Linked DNA regions of Struthio camelus. The protein of the gene in region 2 interacts with the protein of the main gene of each other region in a pairwise test. Links are inferred from orthologs where the notes say so. Each region holds a gene or a part of one and is shown on either strand. Other genes may lie near its edges.

Region 1 (7,215 bases), on a different chromosome or scaffold from region 2:
TCATTTGAAAATGATTGCTTGTGGGTCTGTAATAAGTGACCTGCAAGTAGCTGAGTGGAGATAAAGAACTGAAAGGTAAGTTTTTTGAAGGACACTGATGGTCCAAAGAAAGCACTTTAGAGAGGAAATTCTGTAAAAGGGAAGTGGAAGGTCTAGCTGGTAGCATTTGCTGTGTAGGCAGGACTTTATGGCAAAGACCCAAAGGCGGCAGTAGAGAGAGGTAGGACAGGAGGACCCAGTTCTTGAGATTTGATTTTGATTGGACTATTTGGGTTTTGAACAAAAAACCCCCTCTGAAAGAAGAAACTGAAATCTTGCCACTCTTGATAGCTGTGTTTGATGCTCTGTTGAAAGCTGGAAGCAGAACAAAGTAACATTCGAACAGAGCGCTGTGGAGCGCAGGGTAAAACATGACTTTACCCTGGGATCAGAGTGTACAGAGGCTGGAAGTCTTTGCAGCCAAGGACGCTGTATTCTCCAACTCAAAAGGAATTTCCTGTCTTGTGTTTGACGTCACCAATATGCCCACATGCATATTAAACTGCATATTTAAATCCAGCCACACTAAGCCCAGGATACATGGTGAGTAAGGAGACTGAGTTTCATTCCTGGATATGAAGGAGGCAACCTTCGTAAGTGCACGCAGTTCCGCAGAGCTAATAAACACACCAGCCCCATGGTGATTCCAAGTACGTTAGAGATATTTAACCATTGCCCTTAGCTGGAAGCAGGATCGGACAGGCACACAGTGTCTGATGCAGAAGATAATGTGGCTTTGTCACTCAGGTCTTGGTAATGTATGGTGATGAAGGCAGCACTGCACGAATAATTATGTTGCTGTCTCATGCCACTCCATATATCACTATGCCTGAATGTCAATAAATGGGAGAATCTGAAGCCAATAAATCATTCCTCACTCATTTAATCCCTTGTTACAGAAACACTGTTTGTTGCTTATGGCACATTTTGTCTCAGTTATAGTCTTAACTAGCTGTTTTGGGGACCTCTGATTTTTTTCAGGGTTATATCTGAGATATTCCCAAACAGATTCTCGTTGCTCTGGAAAATCTGATCTTTCCATATCTGTTCAAAAATTCACACTGACAGCTGGAAACCTAGTGACAGTTAAAGGGTAACAGATGTGCAGCCCTTCAGAAAGCTCCTCTGACAAGTCTCTCTGCAACGAGTGCCCAAAGCCTGCTGGTCTGCCTAGGGATAGTCTTAGCCAGACGAACTCTTCCCGAGCATCAGAACCAAAAAAACCAAACCAGGCAGAGTGCTTGAGCTGCACTATCTGAAGGGCTGAGCAAGCAGGGAACAGATTACGTTTCTCCTCTCCCCTCCGAGTTTGTGGCGTGCAGGTAGGGTATGTCGTTGTGCCTATAGCTTGTGCATTTTGGTGCACAGGGAACTGTTGCCCTGCCCTGCTCCTGCAGGAACACGCCTGCTCGTTGCATGCCGGCTCCAGCCCTAAGCAAAATCCACAAGAATCTTTGCATCAGCCTCCGCGGGTTTTGGGTCTGGTTCTAAGACACCTCAGAAAACCTTGTCATCTTGCAATTCTCCCCACCCGCCTACCCTGCCTCTTTCGTTTTGCAGTGCCTGGAGACAATGTGCAAGGAAATGTGCCGTTTTACCTGTCGATCATTGATTTAAATTGCCTAGTCCCAGGCCGGCGCTATAAATCCTTTTGTACAGCCGGAGAGCCCCGTTTCCTATAGGCCGTTTCCATGGAAACTCGGTGCTCTCCCACGTTCGGTTGCGCAGCGCAGGCAGCTCCGCTGTCCTTCGCTTCTGATTCCATTCACATATTCTCCTATTGATAGGGAAAAAAAAAGGCCATAAATAGCTATTTCCTGTCTTAACACTCTCTTCGCCAATAACTGGATGATATATATATATATATATATATATATATAAGCACATAAAGAGAACGCTCTGCCCTTTTCTAGACATCGTTTGGCACTCGGCATAAAATCTAGATATTCTGAAGGTCTAGTTCTTTCTTGACATGTTGTTTTTATAATTTCAGGGCCTCAGTAGGGAAACACAAGCTTAATATTTCCTTGTGTTTCTGGCTGAGATCACTGCAGAAGAGCATCTCTTCACTGCAGCAAATACCTCCCTAGACTTGGGGCAGCCGAGCAGCAGCCTGCTCTCTGCCTTTGGGCAGTTCTCTGCGCAGCGCCTAGTACAGTGCATTAACTGAGTATATGACATACACCATGGGGAAAGTATCTGCTTATTCCTAACAACGTGGGTATCTGCATGAGCTGTTAGGGTTAAATGAAAAAGAAGCAAGATCAGTGGTACCAGCAAAAACTCTGCAGCCAAGTTCGGATTCATCCTTAGGTTGTGCAGAGTTTAATACCTTTTGAACCATAGGATAAAATAATCCATTCCTTATGTTTGTATCTTAGTGCGTCTTTATGCAAAACAGCCTGGTCAGTCAAAAAGCACTGAGAAGAGAAGCGATATTTTCTCCCGTTGCTGATGAGGAACTGAGGCACAGGGAGACTAAAGAGCCAAATATAGAAGTGTAGCAGTATATGGGTAACAAACAGTCCCATGACATCCCAAAATCCATAGGAATCAAGAGCCTAAATACCCTGGTCTGTGGTGCAGGACTGAGTACTTGGCTGTCAGACTTCAGAACAGTACACTTTATTTTAATGAGCTGCCTCTTCCCACCATATGCTTGCTGCAAAATTCATGTCACATCCAGCTTGCGATCGAAGTCTAGATTTGTGCTTTGATTGTTTGCTAACTGGGAAGTGTTGTGAAAAGTGCTTCACAACATAAATTGCTTAGTTAGACACTGTAAAAAAAAACCAAACAAGTATTATTTTCTTTCCTTTTAGCTGGACATGTTTCCCCTCAATAAGGGAGATTGTAACACTTTCACAAAGCTAGGCGCACAGGGCCAACTAACAAGAAAAAGTAAGGAGTGTCCTACCTGTCTGCCAGAGCTGTAGGAACAGTAGAATTGCTGTTTACAAGACCCCTGGAATATATCTAGAGGGCACAAAGCTATATCTGCATGGCATGCAGCTGTTTCAAACCACACAGACTTAGGAGGAATTTCTTTTTTGGTTCACATATATATACACTTCCTGAATTTTGCTAGGCATTGTGGGTTATTGCTGTAAATATTTCCTAAGCCGTGACAGTGCACTATAGTAGGAACGGAAGACACTGGGAGGAGACCCTGCGGCCTCAACAGTGTGAAACCAACCTCCAGACACCAAACAACCTTCTACAGGATTGAGCAATTAGCAAGTCCACTTATCTTTGAATTGCAGAAACGCTAGAAAGTGACCTTGAAGCTCAGGATGGCAGAATGCAGCCGAGTTGGACGCTTTTTGTCCCACTTCATCATTGTGCATGTAAGCACACCACTAACGATCCAGCAGACTCACACGCTGCTCTCTTTTGGATAATGCCGTGCAGTGGGGTAAGCAGCATCTCTCTTCATCGGTTCTGAGCTGCAAGAATCCCGGCAAATCACTGAAAACCCTAAAATGGCTTTTGTAAGACGTCCACTGGGTATGCAATAGCCTGGGGTTGTCTAGTCTGCTAAAACCAGTAGGGGATAGTCTGAGTACCTCTGTAGAGAAAATTTGCTGTTTGAGGGCTGATGCAACATAAACGCCACGTGAACGAAAACGCTGGGCCTAATTCTGTCCTAGTCACAAGTGACAGGAGCTGTGGAGTCCGCAGGACACAATCATACATGACTGACTCATTTTGCTCATGCAGCTCTAATGTACAGATCTAAATGGATTTGCTCCTAGCTGCCTCAGCTCAAATTTAGCTCCCTGACTTGGGAGCTGCATGCGCTGCAGAAGCAGGATTTGGCCCAGTGATAGGTTTCACTTCCTCATCTCCCAGCAGATTTGTGGTCTAACACTCCAAGATGTGCAGCATAACATGCTGGCAATCTGTCACTCTCCTGGCTCTCGTCAGAGCTGACAGCTTGCTAAGGAAGATAGGTGCCAAAAGAGATGCCGGTCCGACTCGAGTGGCTTCAGAAGTGTCACCTGCGCACAATGGAGAGCACTGCCTGCTGCGGCACGTGCACTCCTGCTCCAGGCACTGCCTTGATCGACTGAACTCAGCAGACATGGGACTAATCCTAGACTTTCCTGTTACTCTTACAGTTTCCCATATGCTACATCTTCACTGAAAGTTGTCCTCCCACTGCTGAGGTTTCACATTTCTGCTTTGTCCTCTCTCTTCAGTACGCAAGCTTGCCTAGCACAACGGCTGCCTGTGAACCCGGGGGCTGTAATTAAGGCTCTTATCACTTAGGCACCCTAAATAGCTGTGGTTCCCTTTTGGGACAGACTCTGCATTCTTAGCACTGGAACCTCTAATCAGGCCAAAACGTTGGCTTGGACCGGCTTGAAATGGGAACTTTGCAACTCTGATCCACAGCTCGGGAACTCCTTGTTCGGTTAGAATTGAAAAGTTGAAGTAGTGCAGATATCTGAGCAGACTGCTGTAATATTTATTAGATTAGCAGCCTGAGTCTGCTGCTTCAAGCAAACTTCTCTAGAGACCGCAGGGATCCATGTATATGAAAGGATGTGGTATCAGTATCTTGCCTCACCATCTAAGTACTTCCCAGTAATAACAAAGACCTACAATACTGATATTGCTGCTTAAAGCACATCAGTAGCATTGTATAGCCTGAACAAATAACTGAGGACATAAAACAGAAACAAGAGTCAAATTCAATATCAACCAAAATGCTGGTGAAACAGTACATCAGTCAGCACTGCTTTGCAGTCATGTGGGACCTAGAAAGGCACACGCAGCCTCAGCTCAGGGTCTGTGCTGAAATTCACCCCATGAGGGCAGTAATTGATGGTCACTGTGGGAGGACAGCAAGAAATGTTTCTATTCCTATTTGCTTATCCTTATTCTATTCATGTGCCTTCAGTGAATCTCAGAGCAAACAGCAAGCATAGTCTTGGGAACTGCAGAACTTTGGCATATGTGAGAGAATATTTATGGGAAGCAAATTTAAAATTCATAAATGGAAGAATTTCACAGGAAGCCAATGCCTAAGGATCATCCAGTCAAGGAACAGAAAACAGCATCAAACGATCAGCCTAGTCTTGGCATTATACAGTGATTGTAGTAGATTCAGTTGTAATTGCAGATCCAAGGATTAGGGGTGAGTAACTTTGGGGGCAAAGAACTTCAGAGACCAACTCTTTCAAAGCAATGCCTGGACAGCATGCCCGCATGACCGAGCAAATTCACCAGCTGAGATGTGCCCTAAGGGTTGTTTAGCCATCTGCAGCCATAATCTTGGGAGGGTGTGGGACATGAGCTGGCAGGCCGCAGGCCAGGATGCCACTATCCGGTGAAGCCTGCCAGAAAGATGCTCTGTGAAAAGGCCAAGTATGAAATAGAAAAGGAGAGTGAACCACTGTGACAGCAAGGGCTTTCCTGCTGCTGCCCACTCGGGGCTGTCTTCGACCAAGTGGCAACTGGCAGCAGCTGAGGCCAGAGCGCCGCTGAAGGCACCGCCTCGTCTCCTGTCTGTGAGCTGAGCTTGCCCTCTGCTGTTTGCTGAATAAACTGTTCCTTCCCATTCATTTGAAATGCCAGGATGAGAACAGGAGAATAGGAGGACCTGAAGAACCACAAGGGCTACCCCAAATTTCAAATACTCAAACACTGTGACATTTAAAAAAAGGCACATCAACACAGGTGGAGTTGTCTTTATCTACCTTTTCTGAGCCTTCAGCATATACTAACTTCATATTCTCAAGCTTTTCTCTGCAGTCATAAAGACTAGAAACCCTATTTTTTTTTTTGATCATTTCCTCCTTTACTAAAAGCCAATATTCAGAATTAAAGCCCCTACTCTCCTGAACCTGGGGGCCTGATCAGGACAGCGCTGCTGACAGCAGGATCAAAGGCTGGATGAGCTTACAGAGAAAGGGGTGAGGAGAGGTGCCCTGGGTGAGATCTTGCGCCGGTCTGGTTTCTCCCCCTGCTCTAGCACCCCGTTCTCTCTCCATCCCAAACTGTGCAGCTTCTGTCCTCCCTCTCCTCTGTGGCCACCTGGCCCTGAGATGGGTCATTGCCAGGATGCCAGCTGCCCTGGAAGGGATGCAAGGGCTTGTCAAGAAAGCTTCTGGCACCTTGCCACGTGTTTGCAAGCTGAGATCAGCCTTCAGGCTCCTCTTGTTGCTGTTTGTTTTCTTCACACTTTCTAGCAGCCTCTCCCTGCACTATCGCTATTGCTATCGCTACCGCTACGGTTGCCCCGTACAGAGGGGCCCAAACAAAGGTGTGGTGATGCTTGATGGCCGGCTCCACTGGTTGGGCTCCCTGGCACAGCCTCCTCCTCCTTGGCGCACTCCTGGGCAGGGCAGGGGCTGACCTGGGACTCATCTCAGGTGAACCTTTACCGTGGCTGGAGCCAGGGACCGGAGCCTGTGGGTAGCTCAGCTCAGGGAAGGAGCAGAGACTGGGATATTCTGTGCTGAGTTCTTTCTCAGCTCGTCCTTTGGAAGAGGTTTCTGGGATTAATCTCTCTAGAAAGGCTCCAGCCCTCCCAGGGATCCTCTTTAAATGCTTCTTTAGGTGCTTTTGCCCAGTTCCTCAGTGAAGGGTTTGTTCCATCCATGGACGAGGCTACGAAAGGTAAGGTGTTAACCAGGCAGGAACGGGATATGGGAGGAAGCTGACTTTCTTGACTGTTTAGATGTGTAGTGATTGCCTAGAGCAGGACATTTCCCCCTGTGCCATAGCCCTGTCTCAACCCAGGACTCTCTCACAACACCGAGAAATTTAATGATAGCAGACAACATCTGCAAACGCCACAGAAATGTAAAGACAATCAGCAATTATGGATGAGGAAACAGTAGGTATAAGCAAGGCCAAGGCTGTTCTCAAAGGGCAGCAACGACTAGTCCTTGCTCATGGTTATTTCAGATATGGATATCAAGTAAGCAGATCTATAGCATGGCTGAAAAATGAGCAACAGTTTTGGCATCCGCAGAATCAATTCCACTAGCTGCTATGAGAATAATGAGCTTCCATTATCATCTGCATGGTCATAGTCAAAGACTTGGATATTTTTTATTTTAAACTAAGGATTTTTTGGTTATTTAAAGGCTTTAAGTGTTTAGTTTAACCTGGATTGTATGACTTCCAACACAATGAAGCAAATATTTTGAAGATTTAGAGTGC
Region 2 (7,470 bases):
AACCGTACGTTTTTCACCAGGGATAAGAACACACACAGGAGCAGCTCAGGAGGGATGTTGCAAAGCTTATGTGCAAACTGCGTAAAAGAAAGGAAGGGGTGGTCACAGACACTAGAAACTCTGCTGGCTGACTCAAGTAGGAATACGCAGGCATTAACAAAACCATCAAGCAGAATCTGCATTCATATAAACCCCGGGTCACACTATGTTGACTTTACACACAAGATAGTACTAGCTCTAGAAGTTGGAGGGATACCTCATGGGACTGTAAAAGTAACCAGGAACAACAAACGATGGTGCGGTGTTAGCTGCTGAGCTACTTTCAGACTGGGTGATGTCTTGATATAATGCATACCGTTTCTCAAGACATTTAATTTTGGATTACACAAGGTCAAAGATTGAACTCCATTCTGAGTACTTTGAATGAGAACTGCAAAAAAGACGACTGGTGTAAATACTATTAGTTTATCAGTGGTCATAACAGTCTTCAGGCCATTCTCCCAGGAACAATGGCCTATTACTGCTGAAACTGGGAAAGACTTCTTCAAGTGAGGATGCAGGAAAATAAGAAATTAAAGTCTAAGCAATGAAATATGGAAACATTTACAAGCCTAGAAAGTAGGCTTTGTTCCGGGGGCGTCAAGTAAGGGGCAGATAATCAAAAAACAGACAAAAGGAATTCTTCTGAACTAAAAAGAAAGAAATTCCACTTAAGTGAGAGTAACAGCCTTAGACAAACTTTGGCAGGTCACCTACAAGCTGGAAAGAGAAGGAAACGACGAGGAAACGTGGAGAAAAAATAACGTGAAGAAAAAATAAGACAAAGAGGAATACAAAATTATGGAAAAAACCCTACTTTTTAAAGGGAACTTTACAGAAGCCAGAGGAATACAAGATCAGCAAGGAGAGCAGCTTCATGTCACTTAGTGTAATTACCACTGTGTGTGCTTAGCAGGAATGTGACATTCGCAAATGACCCAATTACAACACGCACAGTTGATTTTCGTCCATACGGCAGTTTTTTCACAAGCAACCAGTCACTGTGTGTGCACGCACCGCGCTTTTTATGCTGCTGTTCTGCATTTTTATCAACCCATCCTGAGAAATCTGGATTTTCATTCCATACCACTACAGAAAGGAAAAGCAAAAAGCTTGAGGACTCAGATACAAAGAGCTGCAGAGCATAGAGAAAAGCATCTTGAGGAGTCTGTTACCATGAAAATTGGGAAGAAGGGGCATCAGCTACAGGGAAGGGTGAGGGTTCTACCAACACAGACCAGTTTTTGCGGAATATAACCCAAAGGCATAAATGGTTGCAAAGAATGATTAGAGAAATCCCCAGGGCTTGCTAGTTGGGACGGACATTCTGATTCAGGAAGTATTTAAATGTTAAGTTCCTGGGTACTGAGATACTGAGGTATGTTGAGGAAAGTGTCATTTTTACCTCACTCTTTTTCTAAGCATCTGCCACTGGACGCTGCTGGAATCAAGACAGTGGCTAGATGAAACTTTGATTTGATCCATCAAAGGGAATCAGTAAATTAAGGCTTAGAAAAGAAAATCCTTAACATCCCCATGCTTCTCATTTGGCCATTAATTCTGAAACTCACTGAAGATCCTTTTTGGAATAAACTTTCAAATATTAGGTACACAGCTATATATAGACACTATTAAATCCAAGCATCACTTTAATTAAAAAAAAGAAAAAGAAAAATCACTAAATCTCACAACCATGTATCACTTTTCCAATGTTGACCGCTACTGAATCTAATAGTAGATAGAAAGGGGCCCTGCAAATTCATTAGCACAGGGCCACACTATATCCTGTTCTTTGTGCAAAAAATCCTGTTGCCATCCGTGAGAACTCATTCCACTGTGACTAGAAACAGAGCTAACTATAACACTGGCACACAAATTACAATTATCAGTGTAATTCATCCCTCACCGTGGAGTGTCTTGGGCACCAATGCCCATAAATTTTGTGGGGTTTACATCTTTCCTGTTAAATTACCACTAACAGACTACACCTTCGCGGTCTGTTTGCTCCTGTTTTCAGTGAGCGTGATGTTTACTGTAATGACGGCAGATACAGTATTCTCAAAAGTATCCTACCTTAACTCCTGGATATTCTTGCTCATTGTAACAGCATCTGTGAAGAAAATTAACTATCGTTATTTTGTAGCATTTAAACATTCAACTTCCTGTCATACAAAATGTATTTTGGCCCCCTAATTTGAATACTGCAGGAGGAACTCCAGGATATTGTCATAGTTACTCTCCTTTATAGTTTTATGCTTTATTCTGGATTTTGATGAACAAACACAGCTGCACGTTCTTATAAATGCTTGTTAGCATCTCCTGTTTTTCAACAACAATTAAATGGAAAATCATGTATACTGACACTTTCCTGAGATAAGCTTTCCGATATGCAATTTCTTCTAAAAGAAACGTTGAAGACTGGATTTCTACAGAAGTTTACCTTGATCTTATTTAGAAATCTTACCTATCCAGTCTGCTCAACTAAATCCAAGTGGACTTTCTGCTCACACAGGCGCTTTGGGAGGGATGCCCAAGGAGGAAAGAGAAAGCGAGGTCTGAGGTGAGCCTCAGACGGGTTCCCCTAGATTCCTACGCACTGAGTTTCGGATTGCTATAAAAGCCCCTGAGGACAATAGCAAGGCCCAGAAACTTCAACCACGCCACGAACCAAAGGCCTGATTTCGCGACGCCCGCTCAGACCGTGTCACCCCGCTGCCCCCCCTTGCTCCCGCGTGGGAAAATGGCGGCGCGGGGGGCGCGAGGCCAGCCCGGGCCCCCCACAAAATGGCCGCCCCTGAAGCCGCCAGCCCTGCTCTCCCCTCCCTCCCCTCCCAGGTGTGCGACGACTACCTCAGGTGGCCCCCGCGAGCACGACCCAACCCACCTGCGAGAAAGCGCCCCCCCCGCCTTTATAAACCCTCCCGCCTCCCCTCCTCGGGTTTTTGGGACGGCGGCGCCCTGGTTCTCGCCTCGCCGGCTGCGGGCTCCCCGCGAGGGAACCGCCTCACCACCACCACCACCCCTCCCCACACAGGGGGAGGCGATCGCCGCCCGTTTCACCTCAGAGCAGCAGCGAGAGCAGAGCAGCTCCGCCGGCCGGCGCTGCCCTCCCCGCGAGGGGGGAGAGGCCGGGCAGCCCGGCTCCCCCTGGGGCTGGGCGGGAGCCGTCCTCAAATGGACGCTCGTTGGTGTCCCCCCTTCTTCTCCTCCCCCCCCCCCAACCCCGGACCGCCGCCGAGGGGACTCGAGCCGCCCTCACGGCCGCTAAGTTGTAAACGCCAATGATTTAACGAGCTCCTTTCTCGAGCCTGGAGGTAAAAACGAAAACCCCCGTAGCACCGAGCACCGGCTGCCTCCCTTGGGGGTGGGGGGAGACTCCCGCCGGCAGCCCCCCCCCCCCCCACAGGCCGTTGCCGGCGTGTGGGGGGCTGCGTGGCGTGACAGGAAAAACGGGCGGGAGGTGGGTGGTGGGGCTGGGAACGGGGGGAGGGGGGTATAACGCGGCCCCTGTGGTGCCTATGCCGTCTTGGGTCTTGATTTCAGGAGCGCGCGTGCAGATCTCAGCAGTCTGCACCTCTACCAGATTATTTGAAATCACCGCCAGCAGCGTATACCGGAGAGACCGCCCTACGGCGCTCAAGGAATATGTGTGTGACCTGGACGCGAAAGAAAAATGCCACAGAGCTCCGAAAACTTCAGTCAGCAGGAAGCCGGGAAAAACATACACGCATATGTACGTATATTTAAATACCGCAGCTAAGTGGCAAAACACATCACCTTTCCTCCAAAGGAGGTAATGTAGCTCTTCAGAGAGAAGAAAGCCTTCCTGTTACAACTAAGAGACTGAGCCCAAAAGGCAAAGGAGGAAAAGTGGTTTTTACAGGGATTGCTTCGGGATTGAGGAGACAAGGGAGAGAATCAGCCAGTTGGAAAGAGAGCCCTGGTTTTTGCTCTCCCTGCTGCGCCAGCTGCAAAACTGGCATGCGGGATGGAGAAATAACTTGAGGAAAGAAGTGTTTCCTGCTGCACCACCTGGAAAAAGAGGCGGAAAAGAAAAGGTACTTCCTTATTCTGTCAAAAACGAAAAGGGGTGAAAGAAAGTTTATAGGTAAATCAGAGACAGAGAAGGCAGATGGGATTATGCTACCCGGTGTCCTGCCGCTATGCCAAGGCAGACTTTAAGGCTCAGTCTCAGGTAGTAACAAAGCATAAAAACTCACCTGGGATGTGGACTGCACCTACCTCTGGCAGACACTGGAGAGGTTTGTTTTTCTGACACTCAGGCAGCTCTCGAATGGCTTGTTGAGCACTGACGTGCGTCTCCTCCTGAGGTGAGGATCACGCTCCTAGGGATGGTGTGTCCTGAGGTTTTTCTCCCTGTGTTGGGGCTGGGAAAGGAGGGGCTGTGATCAGCTCACCTTCACTCACTTTTTCTCTCCCCCCTGTCCCTTTTCTGGCTGTGGGGTGCACATCCAGCTCCCAAAACCCAACTCCTGAACTATGGGAGCCGTTGGGAGCCACCTGCCCCTCACCCCTGTGCCTGACTCCGTAGCCTTGGGAACAGACCCCTCCTCTGAAGCGGGTCATGCGCGTGAGTGGGAACCAATAAAAACCACATCCAGCGTTTGATTTCTCTGCGAAGTTTCATTCAAAATGTGCCAGCTTCAGCAGGGAATTTGATAGCGCAGGGTGCTTCCTACGGAGCATTTCCTCTCCTGGCAACAGGTGCTTTTTTTTTGCCTAGCCAGGGGCTTGGCCTTCCCTGCTGCTTCCTCCCCCCCACCCCGACACCAGTCATATCCTGGAGAAAGAATAACCATTTCAGAAGACTATTCTCCGATAGCTTTTCTCCTATTTTGGGAATAACTCTGAGAAGAAAATGTAAGAATTTCCACGTGCTTGCCAGCCTGATGCAAATATAAATTCCTGTCTTTAAGATAAATCCATTTCTTCCACTGTGTGCAGGGGGATGCAGCTTTATGGGAAGGCAATGGACTTACTTATATCAGCTGAGGCACTGATTCTAAAATATCTGAGCCATACCCACCAGCCATTTCAGTTTTGGATAAAGGCATTGATAACTACTTTCAGTGGTTAAATAATTGTTTTACAACGATTTAATCTGTTTAACACCAGAAAACTAATATAATAGAATTATACTCTAGGATATAAGAATTATAATAGAATGGCAATATAGTAAGAGCACCTGGCTCCTTCAGTGGGGTTTAAGCTACCATTTTTACCTCATGTTTTTGGTAGGTGAGAAGTGCATGTACAGTGGAAGCCTGCAGTCCAGCCAGGGTTGGGGTAACTTGTTTTGCTGTGGTGCCTGCCCTGAAGAGTGTGGCTGAGGTAAGTAAGGTGTAACTGTAACTGCGGTAACAGTGCCTGTCATGGTGCCTCAGGTGACTTTATCTGTATTCCAGATTGCAAGGAACAGCTGCAAGAAGTAGCTTGACACAGAAACCTCTGCTGTCAACAAATGGATATATCTAGAAGCTGTCAAATCGTATACATAGCCTGCTAAGGTATAGTTAACTACTATACTACTGTACGGTTCCATGAGGGGATGGCTTCCCCAAGCCTTTTGTGCTTCCCTCTTTTTAAAAAGCATGTAACTGAGTCTAAGCAAGGAAAACCCCTTTGGCTATTGCCTGATAATACTGGATAAATCCAAATACTCAGACTCTTATTAATTTAGTGTTAGAATGAAGACTTCCTTTCTGAAGTGCCTGCTTCTGTCAGTCTTGATAAAGTCTTGAGTTCAGACTTCCTTTGTGTGGAAGGGCTTAAGGCAATATATGGAAAATGAGGAAGTCTTATTACTGAAATGTACTTGCTGTTATTACAATTTTAATGCAATGTGTGTTTTTGGATTGTATTATGAACCTTTTTTGATTACTAGTTCCTGACTGAAGCAGTTGTTTTCACAGGGTTATACTCTTTGCATTATGTTGGAGAGGTGAAAATGCAGGTGCAAAGAAAAATTCTGCAGTTCTGGACTTAGCTGGAATTCAGCTACTTCAGTTGTGACTGCTCTTCTAGTATCTTTAGAGGGACAGTTTTATTCTTCACCTTGTCTTGTTGCTTTTCAGTTTGCTCTGAGCAACTGAGGGACTGAGAGGTGTTCAGTGCCAAAGGCAGCGTTGTCTGGAGAGGAGGGTTCTTTGCTCACTAAAGAGAGCTCTTTCTTTTCAGACCTTCAGAGGTCACTTTTTCCAATGTGAAAAGATAGATTCATGGTTTTGCAGCTTCCTTCTGTTTCTGAGCCTTGTTCTTTCTTTACACTTTTGGGTGTAAAAAAGTGTACACTTTACATTTTCCCCTTTCCCTGTCTGATTTTTCTTATTTTATCCTGGACTTGTCCAGACGAGTAGACTTATTCTGTGGTCTGGAAGAGAGAAGGACTGAAGTGCAGCCTGGCATTTGAACACACTTCCCTGTATAGCCATAGAAGCGTCTTCTGTGAAAACATATTTTGAATGTGGGTGTGTGATACCATCTCTTTGAATTCGTATAGAGGCTTAATTTTGGCTCTTTCCTCTAATTTTTTCTTTTAGATGCCAGAATGACATTTTACAGAGTTTGAGTGAATGGGTATTTTAGAGTCAGCTCAACTTACTACTTGGAGGTAAGTGTAGAAAACCACTCTTCTATTTACCCATTTGTAAATTTACTGATATAATAAACCTTCTGAGGAATTATTAACCCAAGAAGGAGCGTTTCACTTAAGAGCTCCTGGGCTGATTCACACCAGGGTTGTGGCTTTTGACAAACACTTTTTGTTTGTTTGTTTTTCCCCTCTATCCTTCTGCAGATGCAGGTGAATAGCCTTGGGACTTAGGGGATGAGGAGGAAACTGAGACGCACACTGGTGCTTGAAGATTAATAGTCTCTCTGCTTGTTTCTGTGAAAGGTACAAAGATCCCCACTTCTTCCACCTTGCCTATTTAAATAAATATACATTTAATACAAAATGTGTAGAGCAGAGCTGTCTGAGCCTTTAACTCACTCATAAGCAATTTGTGAGTGCAGCTAGAAATACGGATGGCAGCTCCGTAATGCTAGAGGCTTGGGTGCCTGGCCTGGAGGTGTGGTGCACTGATGCCCTCAGCACCCATCTCCATGGAAGGCTCCAGAAAGGCCCCTGGGAGGGGTAAGCCCCAGCCTTCCCCCTCTATTCAGCACAAAACTTGCACAGACATCCTGTTTCTGCTGTCTTGCCTGACCATATACCATGTGCTCTCTGAAGATGTGCAAAGCCTGGAATGGTATTGGTTCACCCCTTTGCATGAAAAGGCTAGAAATAAAAATACTGAACCATCCAAAGATGCTTTATGCTTGGAAAGTGACTGTGAGCCCTTTCTCACTTTTACAGACTCATTCCTGGGAGGTCAACAGAGTTGTGCTGGAGTAAAACAAGAATGAGGC

The links.
Region 1: the proteins of CCDC158 (region 2) and GPSM1 interact in a two-hybrid assay, tested with the Homo sapiens proteins (2 studies listed by BioGRID and IntAct). The link is inferred for Struthio camelus from reciprocal best matches to the Homo sapiens genes CCDC158 and GPSM1.

The regions. Positions count from the first base shown.
Region 1 is NC_090961.1:3,520,657-3,527,871, reverse strand, and holds the start of GPSM1 (G-protein-signaling modulator 1), read right to left. Parts: upstream 3,095-7,215; 5' UTR 2,957-3,094; intron 2,720-2,956; exon of another isoform or gene 2,609-2,719; intron 1,817-2,608; 5' UTR 1,649-1,816; coding exon 1,638-1,648; intron 1-1,637. UniProt on the Homo sapiens protein: Guanine nucleotide dissociation inhibitor (GDI) which functions as a receptor-independent activator of heterotrimeric G-protein signaling.
Region 2 is NC_090945.1:6,561,938-6,569,407, reverse strand, and holds the start of CCDC158 (coiled-coil domain-containing protein 158), read right to left. Parts: upstream 3,255-7,470; 5' UTR 3,100-3,254; exon of another isoform or gene 3,014-3,099; intron 2,150-3,013; 5' UTR 2,139-2,149; coding exon 2,113-2,138; intron 1-2,112.